Linked DNA regions of Coturnix japonica. The main gene of each other region encodes a partner of the protein of the gene in region 2 in a complex. Links are inferred from orthologs where the notes say so. Each region holds a gene or a part of one and is shown on either strand. Other genes may lie near its edges.

Region 1 (4,597 bases), on a different chromosome or scaffold from region 2:
GTACCTGGCTGCTGCCCGGCGCTGTGTATCCTGCCTGGGCTGTGCCCGGTGCTGAGCCAAGGGCTCCGGCCGCGCAGGGCATGAGATCAGCGTTTTATTCTGCGAGCCGGCAGTGGGGAGGGGCGAGATCACATATCCCGCTGTTATCGAGCCCTACCAGCGCCCCGCGCTGCTCCACCCGGTACCCGCCGCCCTCAGGAGCCCCCCCCACCCCCCCGGGGCATCGGGGCTCATCGCTGCGTCCGCCCCATCGGGGGGGGGGTGAAGGTTTGGGGTTGGTGCTGTGGGAGGCACCTCTATCACCGCAGAGAGAGGCTGCCCCACATGTCCCGGAGCTGCCCCACATCCCACAGCTCTGAGACCGCCTGTGTGCCCTTCTCACCTCCAGCCCCAATCTGAACACTATGGGAGGGTGTGTGGGGCACTGCATGGATCTGCCTGCAAACAAGGCTTCATTTCATCCTGCTGGATAACCCAGCAACAAGGGCACGACCTGCGCTCCCCCCTCACCTCCAGCTCCTTCTTTTTTCTCCTTTTTATTACAAAAAAGAAGCCAAGAAAACAACAACACAAAACAGGTTGACATGGAACAAGGAACAGGCGCTCTCAGGCCGTGGGCACGCTCTGCTTGATGATGATCTTCTGCCGCGTGGCTCTCAGACCAGGGTCAGGGCCAGGAGGAGCAGCCCCCAAAGCAGCGGATGCAGCAGCGGCGCTGGGCAGCCCGTGGGCCGTGATGTATTTCTTGTAAGCCTCACGGATGATTTTAAAGGCTCGGATGTTGGAATAGGGGATGTCAGTGATGGGGTCACGATATACAGCGGGTTTGTGGGTTACAGGGCAGATCTCCCGCACCGGCAACCGCGGAGCCTTCGATTTGGGGAAGAAACGTTCAAAGGTTTCATCATCAGTGAAGGAGATGAAGGTGCGGGAGCACTTGGAGCTGGAGGCTGGAGCAGCTTCTGCCTGCTGAGGGTCTTGGTCCAACCTGGAAGAGCCACAATCAGCTCTAAGGGATGCACGGAGCTGGGGGAGCCCAGGCTGTGGGCAGCACTAAACATGCTGCTCCACACTGAGCCCCAGGGATGGGAGCGATGGGGACTGTGTGCAGCATAAGGGAAAAGCATCAGGATCCCATCTGCTGTTCCCAACTCACCCCTCCACGTCCACATTCTCCTCCTTGCCCAGCTCTGTGATGAGGGGCATGGTGACGGACCAGTACCGGATCACGGGCCCCACGCATTTCCTCTTCTTCTGCACCTGCTTCTTCTTATCAGCCTCCAGGCGTTCGTAGTTCTCTGGGGAAGCAGAGATGAGCCCAGAGGGTCTCAGCACCCCCCACTACACCCCCCATCCCATTCCCAATCCCTGTGCTCTCCTCACCCAGCGAGCGGAGGTTGATCTCCTCCGTGATCTTGGCCTCCTCCAGCAGCTCCTCCTGTGTCAGCGGGCGGTCGTAGTTGGGGCCTCCCTTCTTGCGCTTGGATTGAACCTGGCGCTCCTGGATACGCAGGAAGGTCTGACGTGTGTGCTCTGTTGTTGACTGCCTCATGTGCTTCCGGCCTGCAGTGGGAGGATGGGGCTCAGTGTGGGGCCAGCACAGCTCCCAGGGCAGTGGGGTGCCTGGTTCCAGCCCAGGGATGCTGGCACATCCCATCCTGACTGCACTCACTGTCTCCTACTTCATCCTGGAGTTCCAGTGGGGCTAATTTCACCTCTCGGGCCTTTTGGGAGCTGCTGCTGGGGGTGTCGGCCTTCTTGGGTCGAAGGCTCTTGATGGGCTCCTAAGGGTTGGGCAGGAGGGATGTGAGGAGGGAGAAACCACATGGGGCTGCCCCATGTCCTCCAAGGGACACGTCCTCCCCACAGTCAGCAATTAGCAGATTGCTAATTATCCCATCCATCTGGGGCCATCCGTATCCCTTCCCAGCAGGTCAGAGGACACTGGGATGGACCCAGCCCCATCCCCACTTTCCCCTCCTCACCCTGTAGGCCTTGGTGACCACGCGGCGGCGCCGTTTGGGTTCGCTCTCATCCTGGTCGCTCGTCGGTTCCTCGCCCTCATCGATGTCAAAGTCGGAGTCCACCTCATCGTCACTGTCCGACTGGTCGCCCCGGTACTCATCATCCCCCGACTCCTGCAGGGACAGATGGGCAGCGTCACAGCCAGGGCTGCGCTCCACCACCCCCCCATGGGCCATTCATTGACAGCTGCCCCTGGGGGTCCTCCCAGCCCCATTTGGAGCCCCTGTTAAAGACCATCTAAAGCCACCCCTGCCCCATTCTGTCCTCCTAAGTGCCTCCGTCCCCATTCTGACCCCTCAGTGCCCCCAGCCCCTCCAGGACCCCCCCCAGTTTCCCTCACCAACCCCTTCAGGGCTCTAAATGTCCCCGATCCCACTCAGCCTCCATTGCAACCCTCTCATCTCCCCTCACACCCCCATAAATCCCCTTCCAGGCCTCCCCTGAGGACCCCCCGCACCCCCCCGACCCCCTTTAGGCCCCGGGTTCCCTCCCAACCCCCGTCTAAGGCCTCACAACCCCCTCAAACCCTTCAGTCCACCTCACACCCCCATAAATCTCCTTCCTGACGACTCCCCGGACCCCTCACGACCCCCGACCCCCTTTAGGCCCCGGGTCCCCCCTCTAAGGCTTCACACCGCCCCGCAGCCCCCCTGCCCCAGCCCGTCCCGGCCGTCGCACCTCAGTGAACCCCCCATACGTGGTCTGGTAGAACTCATCCTCCTCCTCGGCCTCCAACAATCCCGACAGCCGGTTCCCCGCCGTGCGCCGCGGGGCGCGGCCTTCAGCCAAACTCATCGCGGCGCCTCCGCCGCCATCGGCGCTCGACTCGTCGTCCTGCCGTAGGGGCGGAGCGAACGATGTAGCGCCCCCTTGCGGCCCGGAGGTCCGGAAGACTGGGTTGATTTCTATTGGCTGCTCGAGGAGCACGTGACTCACATCCCCCCCCTCCTCCATACGTGGGTGGTACCGAGGGGGCGTGGCCTCGCGCGAGGCGGCGGCGGGCGCAGGAGGCGGCAAGATGGCGGCGGCGGGGCCCGAGTCGGGGGGCAGCAGCGGCAGCAGCGGCGGCCTCGGGGGTACGGGGGGACTAAGGCCGGGCCCGGGGGCGGCGGGGGAGGCGGAGCTGAGAGCCGGAGGGACGAGGAGCGGCTGGTGGGGGGGGGGGGGGGGGGGGGGGGGGGGGGGGGGGGGGGGGGGGGGGGGGGGGGGGGGGGGGGGGGGGGCGGGGGGGGGGGGGGGGGGGGGGGGGGGGGGGTTGAGGTGACGGTCTCCCCCTGCCCGGTGGGGTGTCGCGGCCGTTGGGGGCTGTGGGGCCGTTTGGCACCGTGTGGGGGGGAGGGGGGTTGGTCACCATATAGTGATGTATGTGGGGGATATGGGGGGTGTGGGGCTGCCCTCGGCCCGGGGTAGGGATGATGGGGGGCACTTAGAGCTGCGATTCGGCCGTGTCAGTGTTGAGAGGGGGCTTACACTCCTTATTGCCTTCGAAGTTGGTGGTAATGGGTCTGGTTTAGGGATGCTGGACGTGGAACCGGAGTGATTTCTACCGCCGTCCCTGGCACAGAGCGCTGAGGCCGTTCCTGATTGCAGGGCAGAGCACGGAGAGCTTCTGGTTGCCCAAAGGGGGACGGCTGGGGGGCTGCTGCCCAGCGGGGCCTCATCTCGGCGGCCTCCTGGCATCGCGCTCCTCATTTGGAGCCTCTGGAAATGGGTCTGTGCCCCCTCCCCGCCCCCTTTGTTGGTGCTCCCTGCTGTTCCCACGGCGCTGTGAGGAATGGGGGGGTCCGTGGCTCTGCCGGCTCAGGGTGAAGCTGCTCTTTCTCCTCCCGCCGTGCTTTGAGTTCCCTTTGGGAGCTCGGAGATGTCACACATCTCACCTCTCTCACCCGGAGGAGGAGCTGCCGCCTCCATAAAGCTCAGAGAGCGTGGAGAGCTTCACATGGGATAGAAGTGCACGAGTCTCAACCTCTTCTCCCTCCCTGCTGGGATCTGCGCCGCCGTTTGCTTTGCAGGGCAGTCTGGTGTTGGTCAGGGTGTTTTTCCTGCTGGGTTTCAATCTTGGTGGCAGAGCTGCGTGATGTGAAGTGCGTTCACTTCGGCTGATCCCCAGCAGTGCAGCATTTAAAGCTCTCATCCCATCTCTGGGGCCTCTCTTAGACTAAAGGGGGTGTCGGGGGGGGTGGTCGGTGGTTGTGGGGCTGATTGCTCTGGGTACGGGGCATTATTTTTTCTAATGCAAAATCTTAAAGCATCTCAGACCCCGCTGGATGTGGGGAAGGGATGTGGGGCCGGGATGTGGGGCTGACTGTTCAGGGCACAAAGCTTTGCTTTCTCCATAGGTAAACCCTAAAGCCGGCCCCACAGCTCGGTGCCCCCCCTGGGCCGTGCGTGGTTCACCCCAGGGCTGATTACTCACAGAGTCTCGCAACTGAAATGACTGGGACGGAAGGATCGGGGCGTCCCACCCTTCCTGCTCCCGGGGAATCACACGGGGGAGGGTTTCTCCTTTTGCTTCTTTCACTTTGAAACGGCCCTTTGCCAAAAATGCTAATGCTGGATTTCGATCGTTTTG
Region 2 (3,811 bases):
TTTTGCACAGCAATAGCCAAGCACATGCCGAGGTCCATCCCATTCAGCATGCAAAGCAGATCTATTTGCTAACTTCAATCACTACAAATTCTCTCTCCAGACTTGTTCCATAATTAATACAGGCTTTTTTTTCCCCTTACATCAAATAAGCATCTTCTGGCAACAAAACAGTGAACTACTAAGTTGCCACAGAGATGCCCAGAAGTACTTTAAAAGTCAATGAGGAAGAGATTGGAACTGTACACTTCTAAGCATCAGTGAGAATTTCTTCTGTTTTGTTATACTTAGTGAGCAACTGCATTATTTACAAGGCAGAACTTACACTGTGGTGCTGGAGGCTGCAGCTGATATCCAGTTAGCTGACACCATCCCACTGGGTAGAGGTCTGGGGACTCACAGTCCACCCACTGATCATACTCATCTTCCCACCCATCAAAGTGTATCCTCAGCAGACGATGGATGATGCGAGTTACCGTGGCCACACAGACCAAGCGAGGTTCCATCAGATCAACGGCCTCCAGTTTCATTCCAACATGAAACCCATGGTTTGGAACTTCCTGGGAAAGGAAACACATCAAGGCAGCAAATGTGAAAAAAGCGTAAATTAAATTGGATATGCAAACGGTGCTGAAACAAACATTTCAGTCACTTTAGCTTAAGAAATTTTCAAGCATCATTTATGAAGGTAAGTACAGGACTGTGTGGAACAATTTCAGACTCCAGGAATAAGGGCTGTCTGATTATATTCTAATCCATTGGGTTAGTTTTTCACAACTGTACTTAAAGAAACAGGTTAATCCCGTGAGCACACAGATTGTAGTGTGAAGAACATATTGCAGTGTGAAGAAAACCCCAAATTAAACATAAAGACGGACACTTAGTGTTTATTACCTTATTGAAGAGCTTTACAGGTGCTGCTATTGAGTCAGTTTCCCTGAGGTAGTCAAACCATTTGAAAGGGAGTTTTGTATAACCTGTAAATTTTAAACAATACTTTCATAAATCAACTGCAAACTTTGTATGTTAGAACATCAACAAGAATACAACAGTGGTACTGTGCTATGGCTAAAAAGGCAAAAATGCAAAACATTAACATCAGGAATCTCCATTCTCTGAGCTCTGGCCTAATGGACAACACAGTCAACTGGACACTGCCTTTTTGCAACAAAGATGAATGAATTTCTGGATAATGCACAAAGTATCATTTGATGTTAAGATCAATTGTCGACACTTGAAGCTTTCTGTTCACGCAGATCCTTCATCTCTACAATGCCCCACACAAATGACCCAGAGCACATAACGTAATTAAGCACATCCAGTGTCTTTCCTGTGGGGAAAGAGCTCCACTACTGGAAAATTTGATGCATTAGGAACAGATTCAAAGAACAAGTATGGATACTTAAAACCTTCAATAATAAAGTTAAGGTTAGCAATAATAGAATAAATTACAGGATTTTTTTCCCCTGATCTTATAAGTTATTTGGTTTTTTACCTTTCCCATTTCTTATATACTCAGCTTTTGTTCATCTGCTGAATGTGCCTAAAAGTCTTATGAGTATTAAAGCACCTTCAGCTTCTGCTGGTTTCAGCAAGAGATGAAGATATTAGAAAGGAATCAACTTAAAAGCAGGAATTGCAGGGGTTTCACAGTAACTGATGTAACACATCCACACTGCTAAATGTAAGCTAAAAAGAAAGGTGTTCACTTTTGGTACGTAACTGTCTGCAGGAAGAGATGCAACAGGAAAGCTAATTGTTAAGGGAGATCTCTTGGTTTTGAGAATTAATGCTTGTTAATGTACAGTTCCTCTGGAACTGTATGTGTGGACTACTATCATACACAAGTCCAGACTCCTGCAGCACATTTTGCAGGTATGACCATGCTCATGAGTTTCTAGGCAATACATTCACTAGTTAACTGGAAAATAGCAAATTTGCCTTAAATGCCCTTAAAAATATTCAAGGATGACAAATTCAGTAGTGTGCAATAATACGAATATAACATTCTTTGTGTTGTGTTACACAGTTATTACCTAGAAAATCATTCAATAAATACAAGTAGAAGCCTGCAAGCAGAATGAAGAAAAACCATCTCAAACCCATCATTATTTGCTGTTACATGCCTAATTAAAATTCCCTTTGTAAGCTGCTAGACCTTGATAATACAAATCAAAAGATGAAGGCAGTAAGTCTTCTGAAGGCACATGTGCTGGTGGACAGACAGCTTATTCTCACAGAAGGGATGATGCGGCATACAGCTCTAATGGCTACTTCCCTGCAGTTCAGGTTTGTGCATATTCTTCTGAAATTTACTGCTACTGTCACTGATTAACTCAAGTCTTTACAGTGTTCATTAAACCTCTGCAGGTCTGGATTTACCAAGACAATTTATAAACAGACCATTCAGCGACTTGCATATTTCTATCTCCCATTCACATAATGGCTATGCTGCTCAACTAGCAGCTGTCCTCAAATTACAGCAGTAAAGGCAAATAGCCAGTGTATCATAAGGACGTTCGATTTCCCTTTTTCTCAGTTATAAGTTTCTCTGTTTTGAAGGTTATTTTCAAGTTGAGCTGTTTTATTCGTTTCTGACTTGAGAGCATCCTAAAAAGTGAAATGAATTTTGTAGACTGATTTAAGAAACAAAGCATATGGCACATACAATATCACTGAAAAATACTCAAAATAAAATGTGGTCAGAATTCTATATGTACCTCTGGGTGGAGTTAGTTCAATCATGTTAATTTCACAGAAACCAACAGGGAAAATAGAAGGGGAAGTGGCATGGTAACAAAACCAATCAGACCCATCTGCTGCTTCTGAGCCATCAATCCCAATCATAAGATAGCCATCTGCTAAAACCTTTGTAAAGAAAAACAAAATTTGACATTAAATACCTTGAACTGTGTGATAACGCTAGAAAGAAAACATGCCATGTTTCAAGAGTGAAAAGTAACTCATAATGAAAGCACTTAGAAGTACATTCAATTACAATAAAACAGGAAAAGCAAAACAAACTGAAATCATACCTGTCTCCAAGACTGTGTGCTCTATTGTCAAATGTACCTTTGTGAACTGCAAAGTTATGAGACGAACATTTCCTTTTTCTGAGCTCTAGTTTATTTTATGTGAGCGTATCAGTTCTATCTTTAAAGTTTTATGCTTCAGTTTACTCTACCTGTAAGATATTCTGCACACTATCAAGAAAAAGAGATTTGAAATAATGACCGCACTCATTGGTAAGCTTACGCAAAGTTGCTATGCTACTTCTTTAGTCCATTTCTCTTCCATTTTAATAAAGATTTAATGTTGGTGAGATCCCTTTTAATCAATCTAGAAAAATCTTACCTTCACAGACTCCAGCAAGCAAGATGAGGCTTTTGTTTTGAACACAACAGCAAAATACTTGGGATAATTAGCAGAAGACTGTCTTGAAAATTAATCTCACAAGTATTGCATATATTAGTTAAATGTAAGGCTGAATCTCCAGAGATTAAAATCAAAATTGAACATACATATGTTCTTTTCCACAGTAGCTGTATCTAACAATTAATGGATTCATTTTCTGAGCTTTGTTTCTAACCTGAAACAAAGGTGAATGTAAAATGGTTCTTCTGTCTTCTGACAACCAATGTTGGTTTTCTTACCTTTCTAATAGTTGCCACACATATTGCTGAAAGGTTTAAGGGGTCTATAGCTTCCAGTTTCATTCCTTCTTTAAACCACTCTCCAGCTGTGTCCACCTCTTTCACCTAAATAAAAATAAAAAATACAATCAGATGATGGCACCAGAAGCTCAGAATCCAAT

The links.
Region 1: MBTD1 (region 2) and VPS72 share a complex: the UniProt entries of both Homo sapiens proteins name them as parts of the nuA4 histone acetyltransferase complex. The link is inferred for Coturnix japonica from reciprocal best matches to the Homo sapiens genes MBTD1 and VPS72.

The regions. Positions count from the first base shown.
Region 1 is NC_029540.1:2,245,226-2,249,822, forward strand, and holds VPS72 (vacuolar protein sorting-associated protein 72 homolog), read right to left. Parts: upstream 2,884-4,597; 5' UTR 2,821-2,883; coding exon 2,704-2,820; intron 2,139-2,703; coding exon 1,986-2,138; intron 1,785-1,985; coding exon 1,673-1,784; intron 1,564-1,672; coding exon 1,384-1,563; intron 1,299-1,383; coding exon 1,157-1,298; intron 989-1,156; coding exon 607-988; 3' UTR 521-606; downstream 1-520. UniProt on the Homo sapiens protein: Deposition-and-exchange histone chaperone specific for H2AZ1, specifically chaperones H2AZ1 and deposits it into nucleosomes.
Region 2 is NC_029533.1:8,729,409-8,733,219, reverse strand, and holds part of MBTD1 (MBT domain-containing protein 1), read right to left. Parts: intron 3,756-3,811; coding exon 3,651-3,755; intron 2,866-3,650; coding exon 2,718-2,865; intron 975-2,717; coding exon 892-974; intron 558-891; coding exon 323-557; intron 1-322. UniProt on the Homo sapiens protein: Chromatin reader component of the NuA4 histone acetyltransferase complex, a multiprotein complex involved in transcriptional activation of select genes principally by acetylation of nucleosomal histones H4 and H2A.